Linked DNA regions of Cricetulus griseus. The protein of the gene in region 2 interacts with the protein of the main gene of each other region in a pairwise test. Links are inferred from orthologs where the notes say so. Each region holds a gene or a part of one and is shown on either strand. Other genes may lie near its edges.

What was found.
Region 1: the proteins of Ap1m1 (region 2) and Rundc3a interact in binary tests that used the Homo sapiens proteins (3 or more experiments, as listed by UniProt). The two-hybrid records come from large-scale screens. The link is inferred for Cricetulus griseus from reciprocal best matches to the Homo sapiens genes AP1M1 and RUNDC3A.
Region 3: the proteins of Ap1m1 (region 2) and Zbtb8a interact in binary tests that used the Homo sapiens proteins (3 or more experiments, as listed by UniProt). The two-hybrid records come from large-scale screens. The link is inferred for Cricetulus griseus from reciprocal best matches to the Homo sapiens genes AP1M1 and ZBTB8A.
Region 4: the proteins of Ap1m1 (region 2) and Ap1b1 interact in a two-hybrid assay, tested with the Homo sapiens proteins (2 studies listed by BioGRID, with this or other methods). The link is inferred for Cricetulus griseus from reciprocal best matches to the Homo sapiens genes AP1M1 and AP1B1.

The regions. Positions count from the first base shown.
Region 1 is NC_048600.1:115,696,759-115,703,904, forward strand, and holds the end of Rundc3a (RUN domain-containing protein 3A), read right to left. Parts: coding exon 7,132-7,146; intron 6,322-7,131; coding exon 6,232-6,321; intron 6,135-6,231; coding exon 6,054-6,134; intron 5,903-6,053; coding exon 5,737-5,902; intron 5,618-5,736; coding exon 5,460-5,617; intron 4,737-5,459; coding exon 4,599-4,736; intron 4,502-4,598; coding exon 4,395-4,501; intron 3,407-4,394; coding exon 3,264-3,406; 3' UTR 2,832-3,263; downstream 1-2,831. Other genes in the region: Slc25a39 (solute carrier family 25 member 39), read left to right, coding at 186-253, 363-487, 654-827, 1,099-1,202, 1,390-1,471, 1,549-1,629, 1,729-1,844. UniProt on the Homo sapiens protein: May act as an effector of RAP2A in neuronal cells.
Region 2 is NW_023276806.1:246,994,342-246,998,558, reverse strand, and holds the start of Ap1m1 (AP-1 complex subunit mu-1), read right to left. Parts: upstream 2,801-4,217; 5' UTR 2,672-2,800; coding exon 2,630-2,671; intron 1-2,629. UniProt on the Homo sapiens protein: Subunit of clathrin-associated adaptor protein complex 1 that plays a role in protein sorting in the trans-Golgi network (TGN) and endosomes.
Region 3 is NC_048595.1:23,660,829-23,668,861, reverse strand, and holds the start of Zbtb8a (zinc finger and BTB domain-containing protein 8A), read right to left. Parts: upstream 4,452-8,033; 5' UTR 4,079-4,451; exon of another isoform or gene 3,990-4,078; intron 1-3,989. UniProt on the Homo sapiens protein: May be involved in transcriptional regulation.
Region 4 is NW_023276807.1:99,873,419-99,880,766, forward strand, and holds part of Ap1b1 (AP-1 complex subunit beta-1), read right to left. Parts: intron 5,883-7,348; coding exon 5,762-5,882; intron 4,375-5,761; coding exon 4,279-4,374; intron 3,289-4,278; coding exon 3,173-3,288; intron 2,881-3,172; coding exon 2,715-2,880; intron 1-2,714. UniProt on the Homo sapiens protein: Subunit of clathrin-associated adaptor protein complex 1 that plays a role in protein sorting in the late-Golgi/trans-Golgi network (TGN) and/or endosomes.

The DNA.
Region 1 (7,146 bases), on a different chromosome or scaffold from region 2:
CCCTCCTTAAGGTTTTAAAGGGTGAATAGGAGTCCACCTAGAACCAATTGGGTAGCTGCGTGTGGAAACCTGAGGGCTAGCTAGCTAGCTCTTATCAGGACCTGAGGGCCAACTAGCTCTGAGCCAGCCCATCACAGACCTTGTTCATGTCTATCTTTCCTCTGGGCTCTTGCTGGCTTCGTCAGGATGCCTTTGTGAAGATAGTGAGGCATGAGGGCACTAGGACCCTGTGGAGCGGCCTCCCAGCCACCCTGTGAGTACTCCTGCCCCCTCCATTGACTCCTATTGGCAGGGTGAGGGAGGGAGTGCTTGAAAGAACTGGGAGTCCTTAGGTGACTTTTCTGGCCTCTTGGTATGCCCAGGGTGATGACTGTGCCAGCTACTGCCATCTACTTCACTGCCTATGACCAACTCAAGGCTTTCCTGTGTGGTCAATCCTTGACCTCTGACCTCTACGCACCCATGGTGGCTGGTGCCCTCGCCCGAAGTGAGCACAGCCCTGGCTCTTGACCTCCCTTTGTCCCTCCTGGGTCCCAGTGCCAGCCTCTGCCTGGGGGTGGGGGTATTATGCTAACCCTCAGACCCGGGGGCAAGAGCTGGGTTTTGATGCATGGCATCCGTGGCCTGACCTTCTACTATCTTACCAACCATAGTGGGCACTGTGACAGTCATCAGCCCCTTGGAGCTTGTGCGGACCAAGCTACAGGCTCAGCACGTGTCATACCGGCAGCTAGCTACCTGTGTTCAAGCTGCGGTGGCTCAGGGGGGCTGGCGCTCACTGTGGCTTGGCTGGGGTCCCACAGCCCTTCGAGATGTGCCCTTCTCAGGTAGGCACTTTTGTTCAGGGCATAGGGTAAAAGAGGCTTTGGATAATGTTGAAGGGGTCTCTACACACAAGTCTCTCCTTTGTTACTAATGACCATGAACTCATCACTTCTGAGCCTTGGGTTCCTTATTTGTGATACGGACTTGGCAGGGAGGGGTTTGGCTAGGTACAAAGCAGGCACCACCTGGGGTGGTTTGGCTGTGGGTGGGAGATGAGAAGTCTGGAGCCCACTCCCTGGCTCCCACCTTTAATGAATGTCTCTACTTCCCAAGCTCTGTACTGGTTCAACTATGAGCTGGTGAAGAGCTGGCTGAATGGGCCAAAAGACCAGACATCTGTGGGCGTCAGCTTTGTAGCTGGTGGCATCTCAGGAATGGTGAGTTGACTGGGTTGGGGGTGAGGCCACCAGAGGAGGCCCTCACATATAGCAGTCCCTGCTAGGGAGCCTGCTTGCTTTCCTCAGCCACCCTTGAGATGCTTTAGTCCCTCCCACGAGCTATGGGAGAGCTGGGACAGGGGCCCTGGGAATGGAGCCGAGCCTTCTTCCCACCCCACCCCACCAGGTGGCTGCCACCCTTACTCTGCCCTTTGATGTGGTGAAGACACAGCGACAGATCACACTGGGAGCACTGGAGGCTGTGAGAGGTGAGCTGGGCTAGTCAAGGTGGGGGGCAGGCAGGGGCCCAAACTGAGTCCTAATGAACTGGGTCTTGAATCTGTAGTGAAGCCCCCAAGAATTGATTCCACTTGGCTCCTGCTTCGGAGAATCAAGGCGGAATCGGGCACCAGAGGACTGTTTGCTGGTGGGTAACTGTCTGTGTGCACATGTACTGTGTGTGTACTTCCATGTTATATCTGTGAAGGGACCCAGCCTCTAACCAAGGTATGTCCTCCCACCACAGGGTTCCTCCCAAGAATCATCAAGGCTGCTCCCTCGTGTGCCATCATGATCAGCACTTACGAGTTTGGCAAAAGTTTCTTCCAGAGGCTCAACCAGGAACAGCCTCTGGGCTCCTGAAAGGCGAGGAGCAACCAGCTCTTGAACGGGTGGGGACAGGAGACTGAGCCAAGTGCCTTCCTCCCCAACCCAGTCACCCAGGCTACCCTCACATTTTGATTCCTGCTGTTCTCCCTACCACGGTCACCACTCGTCCACCTCCAAGTTCAAGACCAAATCTGACAGCTGCCCCTTTCTTTGTAACCCTTTATGTTTGTTGAAGCCTGGCCCCGAGGAATCAAGATCTCGGGCCAGGCAGCTCTGTTTATTTCCCTGTCTAAAGATGACCTTCTGTGCACTGCTGTGACTGCGGTGTCTTGGGGTATGTGTGTGCATTTGGGGGTCCCCAGTCAGTCACCCACACTTGTTATTCCAGCACTTGGGAGGCTGAGGCAAAGGGATTGCCTCAAGCACCAGGTCAACCAGGACTGCATAACAAGATTCTGTCAAAAAAAAAAAGGCTGCCACTCCTGGCATGGTGGCACACACCTTCAATCCAGCACTAGAGATTGGATGGCAAGTGGATCTGAGTCTGAAGCCTGCCTGGTCTGCACAGTGAGCCCCAGGCCAGCTAAATACCCTGTCTTAAAAGTTTCCCACGTTACGTGGTACCCAGTCAGACAGGACAAAGGTGAAAGATGGTGAAGAGGTCCTTCCATGCTGGGCCACTGTGTTGGCGTGAGAGCAAGCGCACGCCAAGGTGGTATTGCTGGAGCAGAATCCCCTGCTTGCCAGCTCTGGCACAATGGATGGGACTGCAGCTCTGATTCACAATGGAGTTGCATATGCCTATGGCAGGCAAATGTCCCACTAAGGCACACCGTCAGAGGGCTCTGCTAGTGCTTGAGAAAATACTAGAGGGGTCAGAGCCAGAAAGAAGCCCCTCCCCCCTTGCCCTGAATTATGGCCCACTTGCTCCCATAGGACACATGCTAGTCCTGCCCCATTACCTTCATTTAGAGAGCCTGCTATGGAGCCCTACCCCACTCCCCAACAGATGAAGCCACCTCAGTCCTCTGGTTTTTATTTGCCTAATCTCCCCACATAGGTACCAAGGAAGGATGACTTCAGAGGGTACACAGGGATAGACCAGAGGCAGGGCAGCAGGAATGCCAGGGCTGGACCACCTGCTTCTGAGGCAGGTGTGGAACATGAGCAAAAGGAACCAGGCAGACTTCAGGGCCACCAGAATGGAGCAGCCTTCCCAGGGGACTGGCTACTTGTGACCTGGGTGCCCCTTCCTCCTGGTGCCACCACTTGCCAATGCAGCTCCTGCCTCCTTGGTGGGAAGCTGAAGCAGGAAAGAGGCTTGGGTTGTCTTTCCCTAGAGACCCTCGGCTAGATGGTCAGCATCCTTGAAGGGTTGCCTGGGTTGGGGGACTCAGGTGACCGTTGTCCGTGGCCCCTGGCAGGTGGGGCAGGCATTGCCCGTGCTGCTCCTCAGCTGGGGCTAAGTGCCGGGCTGCCCTCGGGGCTGTCGCTCACCAAGCATTCGTTGGATTTGAAGCTGGCCAGGGACTTGCAGCTGGGGATGGAAGCCAGGGAGCCGCAGAGGCCCAGCATGGAGGGCGTGGGGTCCTTCCCTGGGGAGAGAGGGCGGGTGAGGCTGGGCCAACCAGGCTGATGTGGGGCAGAGGATTTCAGGGATGGGCAGTAAAAGGACAATTCTCAGGTCACTCCCAGGAGACTCTTGGCCTCTTCTGAAGCATCTGCCATTAAACCCTGATGGCGTGTGCCTTACTTTGGGCTTGGGACACTGTATTGTAATCATCCGGTCATGTCTCTGGTCTCCCCCTGAGGTTCAGCCTCTTTGTCCATTTATTAAGCACACAGTAAGCATTTGCTCTGTTTCACATTGGGAATACAGAGAATGGACAAGACATGATTCCTGCCCTCTTGGAGCTCACAGTCTGATTGGGGAGACACACACAGTCACAAACACAGTGTGGTGGATTACATGTCCAAAGCCTGCAGTGTCTCAAAATCCAGTTATCTGGTACAGTGGAGTTAATATATCTATTAAAAAAAAAAAAAAAAAAGTCCAGGCATGGGGAAAACTAGGAAGGGAGAAACCAAGTTGGAGCCAGGGGTGAGGTAACACAACGCATGCGCGGAAGTCCTGGGCATTCACTCGGAGGGAGCCACTAATTTGGTTCTGAGCTTCCTGGCACCAAAGAAAAGGGGGAAACATTGGTCAGCCGAGCAGTTCACAGAGTGCATACCGTGAGAGCAAACTAGGCTGAGGACTCTCTGGAGTATGAGCCCTGTGAGGATATCACATGATACTAAAAGGTCACTGAGCCCTCTCCATAAATGGACATGAGATTCTTTTCACCAATGTCCCTATTTTACAGCAAGGTGAAGAGACTGACCAAGCTTGCAGGTGAGGGGGTGCAGCCTAGATTTGCACTTGGTTCTCTGAAACCCCAAAGCAAGCTCCTCATTGGTGCTGTAATGTAAGTACAGGAAGGGCTAAGAGACCCTTCAGTTCAGCCATTCTCTCACTATAGACCCCCAGCAATTTTCTAAAGTATATGAAATGCCAAGGTATATGTATGGGGGTGTGCTCACCAATGGGGCCCCAGGGTTCCTCATCCCGCTTGCCCTCTCCCAGACGCTGGGAGTCTGAGCTCAGGCTGGCTTCTGCAGACAGCGGCTCGGTGCTCATGAAGCTGTGTCTATGACAGGACAGAAATGCGTGCAGGCCGTGGTACATAGCTCCAGGCCTTGCTTCCTGGGAGGGAGTTTGAGGGCAGCAATTGGGTTGGGGCTTACCTCCGATATAGCTTCGAGTTGCTGGCACCCTCAGGCCTATTGAGTGTGCTCAGGGAAGGCCATTGGTTGACCAGGGGTGTAGTGAACTCCTTGGAACCCTGGGCCAGGGGGGCATGGTCACCGGGGATCAGACCTGTCCTGGGAGGGGGAGGGGGATCAGGCCTGGCTGGGAGAGGGAAGCAAGACTCAGCAAAGGTGGGGGCCAGGGCTTAGAAAGGAAGCCTGAGTGGTAAAAATTGGGATATACACTGCTCAGGGATGATGGCCCAGATCTGGAGTTTGCAGCACAAGGGTTGGAGGCAGAAGGAGCACAAGTCTGAGGCCTGCTAATTAGTGACACCATGTTTCTAAAGGGGCCAGGGAGGCAGCGTTAGATCCTGGAGGGAGTGTAGGGGTAGCCTGGGGACAGAGGGGTAGCCAGGATTAGTGCATTCATGTTGGGAGTTGGAGGGCTGGAGTGCTTAAGACTTAGTTGGGGTGATGTAGAGAGGAAAGTGGAGAGGGTGGGTGGGAATTGTGCTAGCTAGTTAACTAGCTGGAACAAGTTTAGGGGAGAAATGTTCCAGGTTGTGGGATCGCTGGGTGATGCAGATCAGAGGCCTGAACAAAAGAGCTTCAGCCGCTGAGGTCCTGTGAGTAATGTGGTACTTCAGCAGTGACTGGAGTCCCTGGCTGATGGGTGACGGAGGCTCCAGGATGTTAATGTCGGGGGTAGTGGTTGGCAACCACAGGCCTCGGGAGAGTGGGATATGGGTGGGCTGATGCAAATGGGATGCTGGTGTAAGGAAAGTGATGCCATCCAATGGAGTGATTTCGGGGTTCCCAGGGGTCGGGTCGGGTCAGGGCAGGAGGCGTGCTCACAGCTGCTCCTGAAGCTCCAGGATCACGCCTTCCAGCTCTCGCTTCTCCCGCTGATTCTGTGCTGCAGCCTCCTCCAGCTGCAGCTGCAGCCGCCGGTTCTCCGCCTCCAGGTCCTTCAGCTGCGACTCGCGCAGACGCACCAGCTCCTCCAGGTAACCCTACCAAGCAGCGCCAGCTCAGCTAGAGCTTCCAAAGGGGTCCCAGCTGGTGTCCCAGCCTGGACCCTGCCCACGCCACGCCCATCTCCCCGCGCCTCGCCTCGCCTCGCCTCGCTCACCTTCTGCGCATAGACAATGCGAAACTTCTGTTCCATCTTGTGCCACTTGCTGTACCAACTGTCCTCGTCAGTGACGAGAGGCAGGTAGGGGTGCTCAGGCGAGTTGTCCTCGCTGGTGCTGCTCTCCGCACTGTGTCGCTCCTCCTCATCCGTCAGGTAGTCGTAGCTTAGGAGCGGGAGCAGTGGGTGGGGCCGGCTCCGCCCCGCCTCGCCCCACTAGCACCCCAACTCCGACCCTTGGGCAGTGACACCAGGATGACACTCAGTGCCCTCCCGGTGCCCATCTCCTCACCCACCGCAATAACCGGGCTGCTCACCTCTGGGTGAATTTTAGGTAGGGTGTGTAATCGATGACCACCGGCGTCTTCCCGTCCAGAACTTCGCCCTTTAGACAGAAGCTGAGGCAGAAGAGTCACGGGGTGGGAGGAGGGCATGAGGGGCGTTGGACAGTTGTGGAGGAGAAAGTCCCATTCACCACCACCATGCAGACCCCACCTGAAGTCAATGGCGCTGAGCCCGATCAGCATCCCTGTGAGGACAGTGGCTTCCTCCCGCAGCATGATGGCTCCGGAGTCATAGAACCGTCTGCAGAGAGAGAACCGAGACTCCCAGGGGGCCCACTCCCAGGACTTGTCTGCTTGGCTTACTTACTACAAGCTTTCCTAGAGGAAAGAGATGCCTCCTTCCAGCTTGCCAGCCCTGGTCTCCCGCTTGGATTGTCACTCACTCACGGGAACTAGCGCCCGACCCCACCCCCACACCTATCACAATGCATGTTCCTTATAAGTGACACTCTTCTGTTCTCTAAGCTTAGCAGCCGCTATCAAGCTCTGGGTCACCTCAATCCTTTCAATCAGGGAGCAAGTCTTAGTGGTTAGTGCTTCTTCTCATACATACAGTAGGTCCTCAAAGGACAATATGTGAAGACTAGGGAGAGAATGTAGTAAAGTTATCAGATTTGGGGGACCCCCTCACCCTCAATAGCTTCCCACTCCAACAATGACACATTCTGCCTTGTGATCCTTGACCCTCAGGATGCACCTTCTTGGCAAACCCTCAGGCCAAGCACTGAAGCTCCACACACTGGAACTCTGTTCTTGGAAGAATAGTGACTGCCTTTGTTTGCAGAGCTGGCAGAGCTGTGTGTTGTAGGTCATGGCACAAGGCCAAGGAAAATGGTATGTGACTGAGGCTTCTGCAGTCCCATTACCATGCCATCTGGGAGAAGCAGACTACCGGTGCATGCTGGAACTTGTAGTCCAGGTATGAAAGGTGTCATCTGGGAGAAGCAGACTACCGGTGCATGCTGGAACTTGTAGTCCAGGTATGAAAGGTTGCTGTGGGGACTTAAGGCATAGGCAATGCAGGTGCATACTGTGGTCTGAGAGGTCTGACCTGGTAGTTCGGTTG
Region 2 (4,217 bases):
GCATGGGTACCACCTGCCTCAGAACCTGTCACTTCAGAAAACATTCTGTCTCTGTTGCTTTCAGCTGGGACAGTGTAGCAAAAGTGGTTCCTTTCTTTCCTAAGCGCTTAGGCCTTGTAGGGGACATAGCACCCACTGGGTAAACTTCTGAGTCTGATGTTGGGCCGAGGGACTGCCCTTTGCCTGCTCTGATTCCTGTTTTACAGATAGAGACTACAGTGCCCAGAGAGGCAGACTTAGACTACACAGGTCCTTGTGAGTAACAGGGGGCAGCCTGGGGTTTTGCCTTCAGTGCCCAGAAGGACAGCATCAAGAAGAAGGAGGGGAAACCAGCACCCCAGACCTAGGGTCACCAGGGCCACACTGCCAAGCAGGGAAGCTGAGGGGCAGCTGTGGGAGAATAGAGAGCAGCCAAGCATTCTTGGAGGACCTCCTGCTTGCCAAAGGTGGCCACAGTAACCAGCAAGTCAGCCTGGCACAGTGTCATAAGGTTGTCTTGATTTTGGAATGAGGCAGGGAGCTCTACAGCCTCTCTGAGGAACTTTCTAGAGGCAGGTCTGCTTACATACCATCATGGGACCTCCTTCCTGGAACTGCAGTGCCCTGGGGCCTCCTCCCATTGGTGCCCTAAAGTGCCACCACTAGTCTGTGGGCTGCCTTATACCACGCATGACAACTTGGATACCTGTCACCTCCTCAGAACCATCTCAGGTGCCCAGCTCTGCCTGGAAGTCTTTTGTAATTTTCTCTGACTGCCAAAGAGAAGGCAAGCAACCTAACTGTTAGGCCTGTGGAGCCTAAATTCCATGCTCTTTGTGCCTTGTGCAGGGCCAGGCCTGAATCACACCTACAATAACCCAGATAAGATTCTTTGGACCAGCCGGGAAGGCAAAGCTCAGAGATGCCATGGGAGGTATCTATGGCCACACACCTCAGCTGTAAAGATGGGCTGAACCTACACGTGAGTCTAGTTCTACAGCTTGAGTCCAGGATGGATCACCTGCTAAGCACCACTGAGGTGTTTGCTAAAGGAACAGGCAAGCCATGACAGACAGCCCATGTACCTCTAGGCCAGGGCAAAAGGCAGAGCATGTGCCATAAGGCCTAGAGAACACTGTGCCTACTCAGGTTCCCAGAAGGCTGTGGAGGAAGCCCAGATTGGGGACTCACCAGCTGTTGACCTTGGGTGGCATCCAAGGCAGGCACACATTCTAGGGACTGAGGAAGAGGCTGGAGCTAGGGCACACCTCCTCTTCACTTCTGGACACCTCTAGCTCTTCCATGTGGGCTGGACACCAGTGTTCTTTGTTTACTGTGGCTGGACCTGTTCTGGTAGCTTCCAAATATAAAAGGCTGGCCACCTGCCTTCTACCTTGATGGATTGAGGGATAGTGATAGCCCATTTCTGAAGGCTGATCATATATTCCAGTAAGAGGTTTTTGCATTGGGCTTACTGTGGTTCCCTGGCAGAGCGCTCATTGAACAGACTTGAGACACTTGGGGTTATTGCCTCTGCATCACAAAACCACAAATTAGCCATATCCAGATACCATGTAAAAGAGCCATGTACATGCCAGACGGTGGTGGTGTACACCTTTAATTCCAGCACGCCTGAGGCAGAGGCAGGCCTATCTGAGGTCAAGGCCAGTCTGGTCTACAGAGTGTGCTCAGCGACGCCTGAGCTACACAGAGAAACCTTGTCTTATAAAACCAAGGGGTGCTTCTGGGAAATACAGACAGGCAGATCCATGTAGTTTAAAGGCCAGGCAGCCTCGCTGAATCAGTCCAGCGACTGAGTGTGATAACAAGAGCCCATGTAAGGGTAGCAGGGTCTCCTTCCTCCACACACATGTGCAAACCCACACAAACACACACAGATGAAGTTTTCTTTCTCAGACACCCCTGGGGAAGATGCCTGGACCCTGATTCCTTCCAGGGCCTTCATGTCTCAGTCAGGAAAGCTTTCTGTCCCCCAGCTGGGGCTGCTAGTCCGTTATGAACACACGGTCCCAACAGTCATTCATGTATCTGTGCTTTTCCATGTGCTGAGAGCCATGACAGATTCTGCCCACCCGTGGGGCCCAGGGCTTAGCACCCTGCCTGGCTTCTCTGAAAACATAAGCTGAAAGCAAGGATGCTTGAGGTGGGACTTCCAGATGGCTACTTCCCAGTCATCAGTGTGACTCTAGGCAAGCAAGTCTGTTTCCCCTCAGCAAGACGGCATTCCTATCACTCGCCTCTCTGAACCCAATGTCACAGGAAGCGCAGCTGCTCTCGGGAGAAAGCGGAGCAAGGGGCCGACCTGAGGACACAGTCCCCGCCACGCCTCCGGCCAAGGGTCGCGCGATCCCGGGGCGCGGGTCCTCAGCTTCCGGACCCGGCGGGAGAGGGGCAAAGCCGACGGTCACCTAGCAACCACAGCCCACCCAGTAAGCTAAGGAGGGGGCGGGACTCTCAAAGACCACCGGCCGTTTCCTAGCAACAGGACAGGGTCCGCAAGTGAGGCTGCCCCGCCTGCCCAACGCCCTGGCAGGGTTGGACGGCCAGTTACCTAGCAACAGGGTGGGTCCCGGCAGGGCGAGGCCCCGCTGTTGCCTGGCAACGCGGAGGGTGGAGAGCCCTTCAATACCTTGCCTTTCAGGTCCAGTACGTAGACGGCGCTGGCGGACATGGCGTCTTTGGAAGGCCTCGGCAATAGCCGAGGGCGGCGGCAACGGCAGGAACTGCCGGCGTTCAGCAAGGCCCGGCGCGCCCCGCGACACTTCCCTTCCACTTCCGGTCCATGGAGCAGCGCGCGGACCGTTATGTCCGGTCTGAGGGGCAAGCCGCGAGTGCGCACATGCGCAGCAACATAGGTGCAGGCGCAGTACGAACTTTGTGGCAGTATTTTTCATCCACTGCTGAAGAGGGCCGGAAGTAAGTCCCGGAGGGCGGACCCTCCCTAGTGGGCGTGGCCTGAGGGGCCTGGGCGGGGCCATCGGGCTGTGGCTGGCTGACTGGAGGTGGAAGCCGGGTGAACGCTTTCAAACCCGCTGCTGTGGGTTTGAAAGCGGAACCGATTTGGGTCAGCCTTGCATTCGACAGCAGTCTAGTAAACCAATATCCCGTCACCAGCTGTGATTCGCTGTCAGGTGGCGATTAAAGGAAGTCAGTCTCTGAATGGCAATCAAAACTTATCAGTAATCGCCTCTGTCAACTTATCAGTGGCTGCCCCACCCCAGTTTGCCCAGTGAACCCAGGGGACTAGACTAGCACGTGTGTTATTTAGACATCGTGCCTAGTGCAAAGTGTGGCTGATTTTCTTTTAATTCTGTCATTCTTTTTTAAGATTTTTAAAAATTTATTATGTATACAGTGTTCTGCCTGCTGGCCAGAAGAGGGTACCAGATCTTATTACAGATGGTTGTGAGCCACCATGTAGTTGCTGGGGGTTGAACTCAGGACTGCTCTGAACCTCCGAGCCATCTCTCCAGCCCTAATTCTGTCATTCTTAACCGTCCTGGGAGACCAGCCAACACCTCAGCACCCGCCCCTTTGTTTTTCTTTCTTTCTTGTAGTTGCTTTGTGTGTGTTCCAGTACACACAGGGAGGTCAGTTTTCTCCTTTTCACTATGTGGGTCCCAGAGATCAGGTTATCAGTTTCCGCAGCAGGCGTCTTTACTTGCAGCCCCCCCCCCATTCCTTTTTCAGTTTTTTGGGCAGGAGAAGTATTCACTCCTAATGGCCGAGACCTCTCTCTGTTCCCAGCAGGCACATATGATGCTTCACAACTGCCTATAACTCCAGTTCCAGGTGATCTGATGCCTCTGTGGACAGCTGCACTCATGCACACACACCTGAATATGGACTTTTTACAAAGTACTAAGTTTTAGTGAGGCATAGTAGTGTGTGCCTTCAATCCCAGCACTTGGAAGCAGAGGCAGGCAGATCTGTGTGTTCCAGGTCAGCCAGTAAGATGCAGTTTAAAAAATTTTAATTTATCCTTTGTCAGTTTCATAATGTATACATTTTATATTTTGAACATATTGGCCCATTTCCCTCTTATTACTCCCTCCCTTCTTATTTAACATTTATTGTGTGTGTTATGTGTGAGCATGTGGAGTTCAGAAGACAATTTGTGGAAATCAGTTCTCTCCTTCCACCGTGAATCCTGGGACTCAAACTCAGGTCTGCAGGCTTGGTGGCAAGAGCCTTCACCTGCTGGGGCATCTTGTCCA
Region 3 (8,033 bases), on a different chromosome or scaffold from region 2:
TTCTTCTGTAGTGGTGATCCCAACCATAAAATTATTTTCGATGCTAGTTCATAACTGTAATTTTGCTGCTGTTATGAGTTATAATTAAATATCTGAGATGCAGGATGTTTTAATATTCGACTCCTGTGAAGGTCTCGACCCCAGGTTGAGAACCACTTATCTAGACCTAAGTGTGTTGGTCTTAGCAAAAACCCCTAGCTCCTAAATTTGAGTTAACTGGAAGGGTAATTGTGTTCGTTGAACAGTGGTTATATTCTTCAGAAAATGAAGGTCTTGTAATTCTGGGAAGATTTAGAATTAAGTCCATCTTAAGAGCTGTGCTGTAAAAGGCCGTGTCTCCTCCGAAATTCAAACTGAAAGTTAATTCTCAGGGGAAGAGTATTTAGAGGAGCTTTTACGTGGTTATCAGGCCAGGGAGGGTGCCCTCATGGATGGGATTAGCATCCTAATAAAGGGATTTGGAGAAATGGGTCTGACCCCTCTTCAGCCTTCCTATCCATTTTACTAATGAGGTCACAGTTTTCCCCTTGGTGAATGTAGCAACAAGGTACCATACTGGAGCAGAAAGAAGCCTTCACCTGTCAGGGTACCGCCAACACCCTAATCTTGGACTTCTAGCATCTACAACTGTGAAAAATAAATATCTGTTCTTATTTTGTTTGTTTTGTTCGTTCAACTGTCCTGGAACTCACTCTGTAGACCAGGCTGACCTCAAATTCAGAGATCCACCTGCCTCTGCTCAGATTAAAGAAGTGTAAGACCACCACCCAGCAATATTTCTTCTTTTTGTGTTATCTAATCTCAGATAATTGGTTTCAGTAGCACATATGGGCTACAGGACCTAAGACAGGAGATCTTTAGAACTAAATACAAGAATATTTGCTGGACATGGGGGTGCACACCTTTGATCCCCGCACTGGGGAGGCAGAGACAGGCAGATCTCTGTGAGTTCACAATCAGCCTGGTCTACAAATTGAGTTCCAGGGCAGCCAGGGCTACACAGAGAAATCCTGCTTTGAAAAAAAACAAACCCAAAAGACAAAAACACATTTAAGAGGGGCTGGAGATGGTTAAGAGCACTGGCTAAGGACCTGGTTTGCTCCCCAGCACCAACAAGGAGGCTTATAACCATCCAAGGGGATCCAACACTATCATATGCACTTGGTATACAGACACACTTACAGGCAAAACACCATTTAAAACTTAAGAAAAAAAAGAGACAAACTATAGCTGAAAGCCTCAGTTAGAAGATGACATTTCATTTGAGTAATGTCCAAAGTAGGAAAGAGTCATTTATTTGTATCTGAAACAAGAGTACTCCAGACAAAGGGAACAGCAGGATGCAAAGGCCCTGAGTGGAACAAGCATGGAGAAGGCGTGGGGAGAGCTATGTCTATAATGCCAGCTGAGCTGGGTGGCTGAGGCAGGGAGGAGCAAGTCCAAGGCAGCCCTAGGCCACTCAGAAAACCCTCATCTCAAAATAAATTTACTTTAAAAAAAAATGTGGCTGGGCAGTGGTGGCGCATGCCTTTAATCCCAGCACTCAGGAGGCAGAGGCAGGCCGATCTCTGTGAGTTTGAGACCAACCTGGTCTACAAGAGCTAGTTCCAGGACAGCCTCCAAAGCCAAGAGACAAAAAAAAAAACCAAAAAAAAAATGTGGCTGGCACTCGGGAGGCAGAGGCAGGTGGATCTCTGTGAGTTGGAGTGAAAGACCCCGCCCCCTGGCTGGTTCTCTCTCGGTGACACTCCCGTACGCGCGCACACTCCCACACGCCTGGCGGCTGGCTCCCTCCCAAGCCGGTTCACCCAGGCGGGGGGCCCTCGACCCAGGCCCGCCCGCCTGGCGCCGCGCCCCGGGGCTGGGGCCGAGCGGGGAGAGGACGCCCCCCCCATGGGGAACCTCCGTCCCAAGGTCAGCCATCTGGACGCGGAGGGGGGAATTGGGTCTGTTGTACCAGGTGCAGACCTTGAGAATATACTGATAACTCTGTACCTCATTAAATTGTCCAATAGAATCCCTGTAACTATGCTTTTCGCTTCTGCACTGTGCTTTTTAGCTATATAAGGACCCCTCTCCCTTGGCTCGGGGCTTAGCCTACCCAAAAGCTAAGCCCCGGGGTACCAGCGCTACTAATAAAGCCTCTTGCTCTTACATCCAGAGTTCGTGGTTTCGCTGATTCCTGGGTGCGGGTCTCCTTCTACGAAAGTACCTCTTCTGAGGTCTTTCAGGAAGCCAGTCTGATCTATAGAGCAAGTGCCAGAAGAGGCTCCAAAGCTACAGAGAAACCCTATCTCACAAAACAAAAACAAACAAAAAAACCAAAAAAAAAAAAATGTGGCTGGATGGTGGTGGCGCACCCCTTTAATTCCAGCACTCCAGAGGCAGAGGCAGGTGGATCTATGAGTTCGAGGCCAGCCTGGTCTACAGAGTCAGGAGTTCCAGGGCAGCCGGGGCTACACAGAGAAACTCTGTTTGAGAAATAAATAAATAAATAAATAAATAAATAAATAAATAAATAAATAAGGAAGGGGTCTGGGAATGTATCCCAACAGTAAAATATTTGTCTAGCGTGTGCAAGTCCCTGGGTTCAATCCCGAAACACACACACACAAACACAGTGAGCCCAGTTCCTATAAGGCCTTGAAGACTATAGGTCTTCTGAGCCTTTGGGTTTTTTTGGTAAGATGTGGGGGTGGTTGCCATTTAAGGCTTGGGGAGGGTTGGGCATATGGTTCATTAGTCGAGTGCCTATGTAAACATGTATGAAGTCTTGGGTTCAATTCCAGCACAGATTCATGCCTGCAACCCCAGCACTTGACAGGTGGCTGTAGGAGAAACAGGAGTCCAAGGTCATCACAAACTATATAGATTTGGGGCCAGCCTAGGCTACATAGGACCTTGTCTTCAAAAGAAGATACTTTTTAAAAATCAGGGAAAATTTAAAAAAAACAACAACAACCTTATATCAACCCCTTTGATATTAAAGAATATAATTATGCCATTAAAAGATTTAAGACAGACTGAAATTCGACTAGTTCATCCCAACCCTCCCGAGGTAGAGATAGAATCAAAATTTCAAGCTAGCCTGAGTCCAGCTTAAAACAAAATTAAATAGGTAAATGGAAGTAAGCCTTAAGTGATAAAGATCAGTGAAGGTTTTTGGTTCTTGGAGACTGACTGCTCCAGGAGGCTGCTGGAATAGGAGGGCTGGAGAAGTTGTCAACACTCCCTGTCTAGGGGTGAGATTCCGTGGTTAGAGTCTTTCCTTTGCAAGGGAGAATAAACGGCCTGAACAGGTAGTTGTCTTATAAGAAATCAAGTGAACTATTTCATGAAAGCGAAACCACTCCATTTACTAAAGTCCTGCAAACATAAAGACTTCTAAGGTGTTAGCGGTGTGTGCGGTTGGGTGCCCGCTAGGTGTGAATCCCATTCCAAACACGTCTCGGAAAGACGTGGAATACTGCTAACCGCACGGTCAAGGGCGACTAAGCGCGCCAGAGCGCGAAGGGACCAAACCAGATAGTGTCGCCAGGTGGGAGATGCCAGGGACATTCTCCCGGGAGCCAGCTGGGGCTCCATATTCCTGTCCTCGGTTCTAAGCTCGGAACCGTCGTGTCGTGTCGTGTCGTGATCGAAAGCGAGAGGGCGGTGGGTGGAGTGAGAACGCCGGGCGGCAGCGCCCCGCGCCCCGCGCCCCGCGCGCCCGCGCCCCGCGCCCTTCCCCCGCCACGGCGCCCGACGGCTGCAGACACGCCCCGACTCCGTGGCGCCGCCTCCCTACCGCCGCCGCCAGGAGGCTCCGGCGCCTTCCCGCCTTTCCGGGGCCGGCCGCGGGCGGGGCGCGGGCGCGAGCGGCGACGACGCAGCCATTGTCCCGCAGCCGCGCCCGGGCCGCCGCGCCGCCGCCCGTGCCTCCTTTGTGGCCGTCGCCGGCCCCGGAGCTCTCCCCGAAAACGCCTACACACCGGGGCGCACCCGGCGGCCTCGCCGCCCTCCGCCAGGCTCTCGGCCGGGCCCGCAGCCCCGACGCCCCGGCCGCCCTCTGCCCGCCCGCGCCCTCGCAGCCACTTACCGCGGGGCTCTGGCCGCTCGTGCTCGCTGCGGAGTAATTCCCGGTTCCCGGTGGGGGAAGCACCCCCTTCCGAAGCCGAGGCTGTGCGCCCTAAAACAAGTAGCCCCAACGTGGGAGAAACAAAAGGTATTTGCTGACGTGGGCGTTGGACAGAAACGCCCGAGGGCTGAGGACACAATTAAAGGGGCAACGCACAGATTTCAGGCACCAACCAGCAGCTTCGCCCACTCCCCCTGTCCGTGCCCACACCCGGCTGCACCCTCCGCAGGCGCTGGGGCGCCCAGATTCCCCAGCAGTTGACTGCGGATCATTCTTTTAGTCGCGAGCTTAAATTTTAAAATTGTACTTTACGTTGGGAAAGGCGCCTCCGGAGGGCAGAAAAAGGGCTAGGATTTCTAAGATGTGGGGATATTGGTTTAAGGACAGAGGGAGGGACTTAGGCGTGCCCACAATTACTGTATAAGTACATATGACATTATTGTTCTTAAGTTTAGCAACGTCAAATGGAAGAGATTTCCACAAATTTCCTCTCTTTATCGAAGCACTTATTCTAGTCAGGGATAACCCTTTAGAAACCTTTGTAGGTCCCCTTCAGACCATTTGAAAAGGCAAGCCCAGAGAGGCTGAGATATTGAGAACATGATTTTATTTTGTGTTTTTGTTTTTCAAGACAGGGTTTCTCTGTGGCTTTGGGGGCTGTCGTGGAACTAGCTCTTGTAGACCAGGCTGGTCTCGAACTCACAGAGATCTGCCTGCCTCTGCCTCCCGAGTGCTGGGATTAAAGGCTTGTGCCACCACCGCCAAGCTAAACTAAATTAATTTTATATTTCCTCATATTAGTTGTTAATTGCTGTGAAATAGTGTATTATGATGAAATGGGGGGAGACTCAAATCTTCAAAGCATACATTTAATGTTTTTTTGAGGGGTTCCTCTCCCAAGTCTTAGTTGGGCCTATTAGGGTCTTGTTTCTTCGGTTTCCTCACCGATTAGCTAGAACAAAACATTTGGTCTTTCCTGAATATTATACCTGTTTACTCCAGAGTTGCTTTGTGATTTAGATGTGTTTCTTTACCTTTTGAGGTAATGGAAGGAAAAGTAGCCAGAAGCTAGTTTGAAAATCCTTACCACACCTTTAATCAAAGCACTCCAGGAGGCAGAGGCAGGCAGATCTCTGAGTTAGAAGCCCTCCCAGGACAGCCAGAGCCGCATAGTGAGACCCTGTCTTGAAAAAGAAAACCGTTATGGTTCAGCATTGCTGAATATGCTCAAGCTGTTCTAACATTCCCATTGAAGATTTATCCCAGAAAGAGCTGGACATTATAGTAGCTTATTGCAGCACTGGAAAGGCAGAGGCAAGCAGGTCTCTCTGTATTCAAGGCCATCCTGGTTTACAAAGAGAGTTCCAGGGCAGCCACAAGGAGACCCTGTCTCAAAACAAAAACATTCTGCTGCCAATTAAGCCAACCAGGAAGGTTCCTTTGCACCCTAGGGGGCCTGGCTTGCAATGCTTGCAAATAGCAGCCTTTTGTCCATTCCTGCGTCCAAGAGGAAGTTGGAAACAATTCTCCAGCGGCTATTCATGTCTCTGATCTGGAAGCTAGCCCTAGTCTACACTCCAGACAGGTATGTAGGGGAGCCCCAGGGCACACTGGCCACGGTTAATTTAGGCCAGGTCATCCTGTCAATCCAAACCACATCTCAGAGCAGAGGGGCCCCACCAAATGGAAAGCAGGTGAATTTGAAGGGGGAAAATGGTGTGTGTGTGTGTGTGTGTGTGTGTGTGTGTGTGTGTGTGTGGTGTGTTTCCTCCACTCTAAATGCCATTGCCACCCTGAACTCCTGGGCTCGCTCTATCATCATTGTCTTGTTCAACCACCCAAGCAGCTGGGAAGCGAGGTGTGTGCCGCTGCGCTGCGTCTGGCCAAAGGTTTTATTTTTAGTGTTAGTGAATTCAAACAGCCAACATAGCCAGGTGTGCTGTAAGGCCAGCGACTGGCAGATGTAAAACTGGAGGGCCCGGCAGGCATTCCAAGCTAGCCTAGGCTATACACCTGGACCTTTCTCCAAAAACAAGTGAGCACATAAAATAGAACAAGTCTGTAAGCATGCTTCTAGACAGACCACATAAGGTTGCTTGCTGATGCACTGTATTCCGAGGAGAAAGAGTTTTCCTTTCATCTTCATCCTCCTGACTTCAGTTGTTAGACCCTAGGAAAGCTGAGGCTTCCAGAATCTTAGCCCAGGACCTCGGCCACCCCAAACACAGAATGGAGGCGAAAGCTCGATGCAAATTGCATGAGGCTTTATTGTAGTTTAACGAGCTAACCCCATGTTAGCTCGGGTCTTTGATAGCACCCACCATGGCAGATGGCTAGCAAAGACGGCTCCTAGGGGCTCCCGAAAGATCTTATAGGGCAGCATAAGGGGAGTGTCTAGGGGTATGCACAGGCTCAGGATTGGTGTGCCTCCAGGCTTGGAGGGCTTGCCCTGTGTTTATTGGTCAACTGGTTGCTATGCTTTGTGCGCCATTGCCGTGCACTTGTCCGTAAAGCACACCCAGAGCCGTAAAGCATAGCGCCATCAGCTAACTTCTGATTGGTTCCTTGCCACGAGGCAGGCATCTGACTTCTAGTGACTAGGACAAGGTCTTGGCAAGCATGTGTTACTGTCATGGCTGCTGAAAGGAGCAGCTGGTCCCTTCAATGAATGTTTTGTCCGTATGTGTATATTGAGGTTACTTACAGGAATATGGGTGAGGGATTACTTACAGGAGCCCCTTACTGTTTATGTGCCTGCTGCTGGTGGTAGAAGCCAGCAGAGGGCACCGGGCCTCTGGAACTGGGGTTAGGATGGTTATGCGACACCACGTGAGTTCTGGGACTCAAACCCAGGTCCTCTGTGAGAGAGCCTCCGGTGATCTTTCCACTGAGCCATCTCTCTAGCATCTCCTTCCAATTTCACAGGAATTTATTCAGCACATACTATGAGCAAGGTGTTTGCTGCTGACTCTTAAAATACAATAGTGAATAAAAACTCTTGGCCCAGCCGGGCAGTGGTGGTGCACACCTTTGATCCCAGCACTCGGGAGGCAGAGGCAGGAGGATCTCTGTGAGTTTGAGACCAGTCTGGTTTACAGAGTGAGCTCCAAGATAGACTCCAAAGAAACCCTGTCTAGAAAAAAACAAACACAAAACAAAACAAACTCTTGGCCCAGCATAGAGTTCCAGGACAGCCAGGGCTACACAGAGAAACCCTGTCTCAAAAAAGAAAGAGAGAGGAGAGAGAGAGAGAAGAGAGGAAAGAGAAGAAAGGAAGAAAGAGTGAGTCAAACCTGATGGTTGTTGTGTAACAGCCTGTGATGAAAACTTTCCTTTTTTTTGTTTTTTTGTTTTGTTTTGTTTTTCGAGACAGGGTTTCTTTATGTAGCTTTGGAGCCTATCCTGGCACTCGCTCTGGAGACCAGGCTGGCCTCGAACTCACAGTGATCTGCCTGCCTCTGCCTTGAGAGTGCTGGAATTAAAAGCATGCACCAACAAGGCTCAGCAAAACTTTCCATCTTGTAGGGGCTCTTTAAGCAAAGAGCCAAACAGCAAGAAACACCTTCAAGAACTCCCTGGAACTGGGCAGATTCCCTAGGCCCCTTCCTGCTAGAGACTGCAGAGCCCAGCTGTAAGGAAGACTCTGGGCCACCTGAGTTGCCTGGAAGAGGTTTAGACCAACCAAGGCACCTGGAAAGGACACTCTCCAACCTGCTGAGCTGCCTGCAGGCTTTGCAGTGTGCTTCAGGTTCCCAGCTTTGGAGCTGTCAGCCATGCTGGGGTGGACCTTGGGGATGCAGCTGTCTTTGAGTCATTTCTGCTTCTGTAAGTAACCCTTCACCCATACTCCTGTAAGTAACCCCCAAAAAACTCATTGATTTTCCAAGCTGGACTTTGGTGGTGTCTGTAGTTTAAT
Region 4 (7,348 bases), on a different chromosome or scaffold from region 2:
ATCCTTGTGAAGCTGTGCACCACCATCCCCTTTTGACGACTTGGTAAATTTAAGGAACACAGGAAACCTGAGTTCAGATCTTCAGGGCTGTTTTCTTCCCTATAGATTCCTGACTCAGCTTTTCCTTCTGACTTCTCTAGTCCCTGGCTCTTTAGCAGGTTTATTTCTGTGGCTGAAGAGGCTACAAGACTTAACCCAAATATCTGGCAACTTACCCCCCTGCCCAGGCAATCCTCCATAGAAGCAGACACAGTACAGGCAAGGCTTGGCTTCTGGGGAGCCACAGATGAGCGGCTGATGTTAAAAGTGAAGCTACATGGAGGGAGTGGGCAGTGCAGGCGGGTGGCAGTGGGAGGGCAAGCGGTAATGAGAATCAATGCTAGGACTCTGCTATGGACATCTGGTGTTCTTGTTCACTTAGCACCCACTCTGCTGGCTTTCCTTCAGGGAACTGCCATTTTGTCTCTTTCGACCCATACAGGCTAGGATGAACACCAGGCCCATGAGTCTTGGTAAATGGCTCCACAAAACACAGATCTTGGGACTTTTGTTGAACTGCTGAGGTAGAAGTTCTCTTTGTCCATGGTAGTAGTTAAACTATAAGGACAGAGTCTAAACTGTTGCCTAATTGTAGTTCCTGCTCATGGGAATGTGACCAAGGCAGAAGCCACTTAGGGTGGCAGAGATAGCCCTAACACTCCAAGGCAAGAGTATGGGGAGGGAGTGTGCTGTTTAGAAGTGTCAGCTACGGGAACTAGCAGGCCCTGCTTTTTCCTGGGCCACTTCACTTTTAAATCTAATTCTGACCCAGGTCAATACTATCACTGATGAGTACTTACTATGGACTAGAAATATGTTAACGATGAGCATAAAATTATTAAGCAAGGGTGAGGCAGATGAGAGGTATGGGCTCTGGGGTTTATGATTCCATGGCCCATGTTTGGACTCACTAGGTTACACTGCTGGCACTGGGCAGAAGACATTTCCTAATTCACAGCAAAAGGAACAACAATAAAGAGATGCAGACAAAACTATACCCATTACCTTCTGAGCTGTTCAAATCAAGTACAAGAGGCAGGACAGTACCATCTGAGATGGGAGGTCAAATAAAGACAACCATTCTACCAAATGAAATCAGGCAAGAGTTACCCAGATTTCAAGGGCACAATCCCTTCTTTCCAAGCTATCTGCGTAAGGCTTCCTCCCTGAAATATTCACAATTCTACGCCATGTCACCTAGCCACAGCAGCCCGCTCACAAGAACAGACTAGACACACAAACGTCCAATGGACTTAAATAATAAAGCATACATTAACAAAGACATGCCTTCAGAATTACCCTAAGGGGAGAAGGCAAGGTTCTAAGCAATCTGAAGTTGCATAGTGGACTACTATAGCATTTAAGTGAGAAGGAAACAGACACAGACACAGACACACACCACTTCTCTTCATTTGTAATACCATGCTTTTTAAACACTTGGCGTATTTTTATTACAACTGTTTACTATTTATTCATGTGTGTGCGAGGTATGTATGCCATTGAGACATGGTGGAAGATAGAGGACAACTTGCAGGAGTTGGTTCTCTCCTACGACCAGATGGTTCCTATGACTGAACTCAAGCTGTTAGGCTTGGTGGCAGGTGCCTTTACCCATTGAGCCATTTCACCAGCCTTGTTTTTATTGACAAGGTCTCATGTAGCCCAGGCTGGATTCAAAGTCTTTATATAGCCAAGGATGACCACCAACACCCGATAAAATTGCCTCACAAATGCTGGGATTACATGTGTACACCGTCACACCCTGCTTCCATGTTTGTAAATCTGCCACTTGTTGCCCCTGAAAATCAATATTCACAGGGCTTAAGTGGTCATCTGTAGATAAAGGCTGAGCAATGGAAACCTAAATCAGCTGATGAATACTTCCAAGCTGAGGCTGGGACAAGGCAAGGCTGATTCTACCCTTCATTTCAGCTCTCATTCTGTAAAAAATGTATCCTTCTTCTCATTTAAAATGGCTCCCAAGTATAGTGTTATAGTGCTTGTCTAGAAGGCTCTAGAAATGTTCTCTGTGGAGAAATATACATGCTAGATAAATCAGTCAGGCATAAGTCAGTGTTGTTGGCCACTGAGTTCAATGCTAATGAATCAACGGTAAAGGTTACATGTTGACCAACTGATAAAAATGTGTCTAGATGTCATAGATCTAACTTTTCCCCTCTCCTGGAAGTGCTAGCTCAGTACTTATTCAGGAAATGTGGTGGTTATAAAACACAAATGCCAAGAACAATAGAACTGGCTCAAATGTCTGCATGAACATCTAGTGGACCATTCCTATAATCTCTAATGACCAAGAAACTTAAGTATGCTAGTAACTGGGAGAACTATGGCCACTTTGAAAGCAGTTAGAGGAAGAATTTTCATTATATAGTCCCAGGAGTATTTCTATTTGGAACCATGTCAATGTACTACCAAAAGATAAATATGAAATCAAAACAAAGCCAGAAACTTCTGACCAACTTCCACACACACCACAGACTGTCCTATGTCTTCTGAGGCACTGCTGTGGGGGAGAAAAAGGGGCCACACAGAGCCTGTCAATTAATGTCTATACACAGTGGCAATGCAATCGGAGGGAGGAAGGAAGGATATAGGGGTGGAACAGGCCAGAATTGGGCTAGGCAATCAGTGATGGGTGTGCTCACATGAAGGCTCACCTGGGTGCTCTCATCATGAAAACCTTCAAGGAAGCTCTCCAGCAGCTCATCTGCATTGTCAATCCGCTCAGCATACTCGCCCACTATCCAGATCATAGCAGCCCGGGCCTCAGGCTCATCCAGGGAGTCTAGGTTCTCACACAGTGTGGCTATCACGCTCTCATACCTAGGAAAGCAGGATTGAGCCAGCAGGTAAGCACCAAGGAATTTTGGCCAATGTGTGTGGTGGAGGGTTAAGGGCCAAGTCAGATAGGCAGCTGCCCAGACCCGGAGAGATGGTGAAGACAGGGGGTGTTTAGCTGGAGTTTAGCTGATCTTATTTTGGCCTGGAGGGCCAGCTTGGGTAAAAGAACAAAAAAGACAAAAAGTTTCTTCTGAGAAAGCTATGAAATGGGAAGAAAGGGAAAGGAGGAAGAGGAAGCCGAGCTGCTCTCTTCCCATGCGGGGTGGGCACCTACTTGTTGGGGTACTTGCGGAAGATGTCCTTAATGACCACAATGGCTTCCTGGACTACATAGTTGACCTTGGTCTGGATGAGATCAAGCAATGTGCTCACACAGCGCTCTGCAGATTGCTGTGTGGGAAGAAGAGGCAGTGTAGGCAAGGTCTCTGCACACAGTTTCCAATTGGGCTAATGATCCTGCTGCAGTCAAGCAGCTTCAGACCCATTGCCCACCTTCTTTATTATAGCATGAAAACAGATCTCTTTCCCTTGACAATGGGGAGGCAGAGGACAAGGGCCAAATGAGGGCCCTGGATGAAAAGGACACACAGATAGAATGAGAACACAAGACAGCCAGAGGTGTAGCTCTTGAAAGTGTGAGGTCATTGGGAGTTCCTCCAGGCAAAGGGCTGAGTGACCCTATTTGGCCCCATCTCTCTGGCTTGTTTCATAAAATTGGCTGCAATGGCTAGACCTACAAAGTTTCTGTACCTAGTCTTTTGCTTTTATTTCTACATACTATATAATAGCCCGAAGGGGCAGATGTCTCAGGAGAGCAATAATAAAAATCAAGGGGAAAACAGCTTAAGATGCTGTTTTCAGGGTCCTGAGTGGGTATGACCAGCTATCCCAGGGTCCTTAAGCCACCAGCAGACCCACTGTGTACAGGTCAATGTCAAGGAATAGCTCCCCAGGCAGAGTGGAGAGAATGAAATGTCAGGGCACTGGGTTTAGAGTGATTTAGTAGGTCAGAAGAAGCAGCCCAGTAGCTCAATCAAGGTATCTTCTGAAGTATCTATCAGGCAGAGGTCCTGCCGCAGATCTCTGTGGTAAGTCTAACAGGAACTCCATGAGCTGGTGGCTGTCCTGTGGCCTTAGATAATGCTGTAGGAGAACCATCATTAAGAACCATCATTACAGGGGCATCATTTCACCTGTTACAACTCAAGAGCCTGAAGTGAAAAAGAGCCAATGTAATTCTGTGTAGTGGGTACCTTGGAGGCCCTGTTGGTGACCCTTGGACTTCCTGAACCATAAACAGCTTCTAGGATCAGACTGGCTTTCTGTTTTCAACAACCTTCTCCCTCCCTGGCTAGGAATGGAATCCCAGAACCTATTCACCTCCACCTTGATGGCACAGCGACCGATGGCACGCACTGCCTTCCGTACAAAATCCACATCTACTTCTGTAGCATACTCTTTGAGTTCCGCCAATACCTGTGATCCAAACAGAAAATGGATTGGAGATATCCGATGGAACAATCTGTTAGAATACTTGGGTAACAGAAATGCATGAACTCCCAAAGGGACGGGACTCTGTTGTCTGCTCACAATGGACGGCTCAGGGGAGCGTGTCATCAGGCTCCTCAAAAGGAAGAGAATTCAAAAGGAAGGTAGAGGATGACTATGTAGCAAGGTTCAACAAACCTTGCTTTACACTGACAGCTACTATATCCAAGAACCTCATTTTGTGTGTGTGGTGTTGGGGATGCTAAGTAGATATTCTACCCCCAAACTACATTTTTCAGCCTCAGCTACTGCTTTTTTTGTGGGGGGCGGAGGCGGTGGGGAGGCAGACATAAGGAGGTACGCTTATACACATGTCTCCACATGTGGAAGCCAGGACATCCTTGGGTGTCATTTCCCAGGATCAATCTACTTTTGTTGTTATTTTTGTTTTGAGATAGGGTCTCTAACTGGCCTGGGGTTTGCCAGTGAGGCTAGGCTGGCTGGCTGGCTAGTCAGCCCCAGGGATCTGCTTGTCTCCACTTCTCCAGTGCACTACACCAGACTGTGTGTGTAGGGGATGGGGAGAGAGACCGAGGCAGAGAGGGGGGGGCAGACACACACACACACACACACACACACACACACACACACACACACAGAGAGAGAGAGAGAGAGAGAGAGAGAGAGAGAGAGAGACAGAGACAGAGACAGAGACAGAGAGAGAGAACCAGTGATATGGGGGGTGGGGTATGTGTGTAGGGAGGGGGTAGGTGCCACAGAGGATAGAAGAAGGTATCAGATACCTTGAAACTGGTGTTACAGGTGGTTGTGAGACCCTCTGTGGGTGCTGAGAACTAAACCCATGTCTTTTGAAAAAGTAGTAAGTGCTCTTAACTATGGAGCCAGCCATCTCTTCAGTTCCCACACACAGATTTTTAAACATAGGTTCTGGATATTAATTTCAGGTCTTCATGACTGCCCCTAGTAAGTGCTTTACCAATTGTACCATATCCCTAGGTGACCAACTACCATTTTTTAGTGAATAAATGATAGATAATAATAGAGAGAATAAGGAGAATTTTTTGAGTATGTATAGGGAGTCTATTTATGTTGTCCAAGGTAGTTTTGATCTTATGACAAGTGATTCTCCTGCTTCAGCCACCCAAGTATCTGGGACTTCAGGAGTGTACCTTTGTGGACAGCTTGAGAATATTCTTTATTAATACAGACATTAGTTGTTTTTGCTTGCTTACAGAGCTCTATCATCCACAACTCTCCATGAGATAGAATGTCACAGTGAGCATGCTGACCTAGACACACCTAGGAAGTTGTCTGACACCAAAGCTTGTGCCCCACACCACCATACTCTGCTTGCCTGGGCGATGTTGGCCTGGGAGGCCAGGCGGATCATAATGTCCAGTTTCTCCAGCTTCACGTAGATGGGGTCATTGTACTTCACAAAGAAAACTTTCATTTCATGCTTCAAGATTTCTGGCCTGGTGGTGGGGCAAGATGCCCAGAGAATAAAAAAGAAGCCATAAGACCCATGAGTCGTCATTCCACATCTGCTGGGGAATTCCTGGGCTATAGGTGAAGCTTGATGTCCAGGGAGGCAGAACAATAATCATGACTGTGTGGCCATAGGTAGTGGTTCTTCCTGGCTACAGCTTGCTGGGTCACATCTCAGGAAGGAAAAGTAATTTACATGGATAGTAGGCAGCAGGCCAGGGTTCTAATCCCAATGTGTGACCTCAACCCTTGTTTCCTTACTCATGAAATGAGAATGAATTGCGCAGGAATAATTACTAACCCAGGCCTGAATCTGGTGTGTATGAACTCAAACTCTCGGAACATTCATCCTGTTCATTCAAAGATAAAGACGGCTGGCTATGCCTAGACCATTTATAAACAATACAGTTTATGCTTAAACCCTGCTTTCCTTCTGCAGTCCTGAAATAGTGTGCCCCTATTGCCCTATTGCCCCTAGGTGCCCTGTCTCAATTTGGCTCCTTGGGAGGAAACATTCCACACTTGTTGCTGTTCTCTGCTGACCTTCCAATAGAGGAAAGCTCAAGAGAAAGCCTTTCATGGATTCTTCTATACTCTCCCTTATGTAGGTCACTCTACTAAATCTCAGATAAGGAACACAAATGACTACTGGGAAATGCTAGCCAATCTCTGAACACAAACAGACTCCTGCACAATAGGTCAACTGTGGGAGATGGAAGCATCTAGCATGATCAATGCCTGCTATATGAAGGCACTTGCCAATAGGAACTGTCACCTGCTGAGCTATCTAAGTGTATCTACTGCTCCTCCCTTGCTGCCTGCTGCCCTCAAATGGTACCACGGGACACATTTTTCTAAGACAAGGGAATATTGAGAGGTTACAAAGCTTGCATTTGTCACAAACTAAAAAGTTGAGAACAAGGTAAGAGGTACCATCCTGGTTCCTACTTCTATGTCCTTCCCAGGATAGAAACTAATAATTGTAAAACAAAGTTACAGCCAGGGATGAAGCTCTGTGATGGGGACAGAGGAAAGAGGAGTTCAAGGGTCTGTGTTGCCATACAAACTGTGGAGAGCCTGGCTGAGTAAGGAGCTTTTGTGGTGCTCTATGGGGGAGAAAAGACTCTGAGATGAGTAGTAGGAAGATGACTTCTACAATTGAGACTTTACAAAGGCTGCCCAATCACGTCAGGCTGGTCCACGTCATGACTAGGTGACATAGACAACTTCTTAAGAGATTGTGTTAAATATAGCACACAGAACCCTTCAGGCTGGTCTTGTTCCTGTATTCTAATAAATGCAGTGATCCGAGGACACTGGTATATAGAGACCCACACTGTAACAGCAAAGCCCTAGTCATATCACGTTACTCAGAGACTTAGAACACTTTACCCATGTTTACTCTCCAAGTCTTCATAAATGTCCCAGCTCAGTAAGTATCTCTGTCCATCTA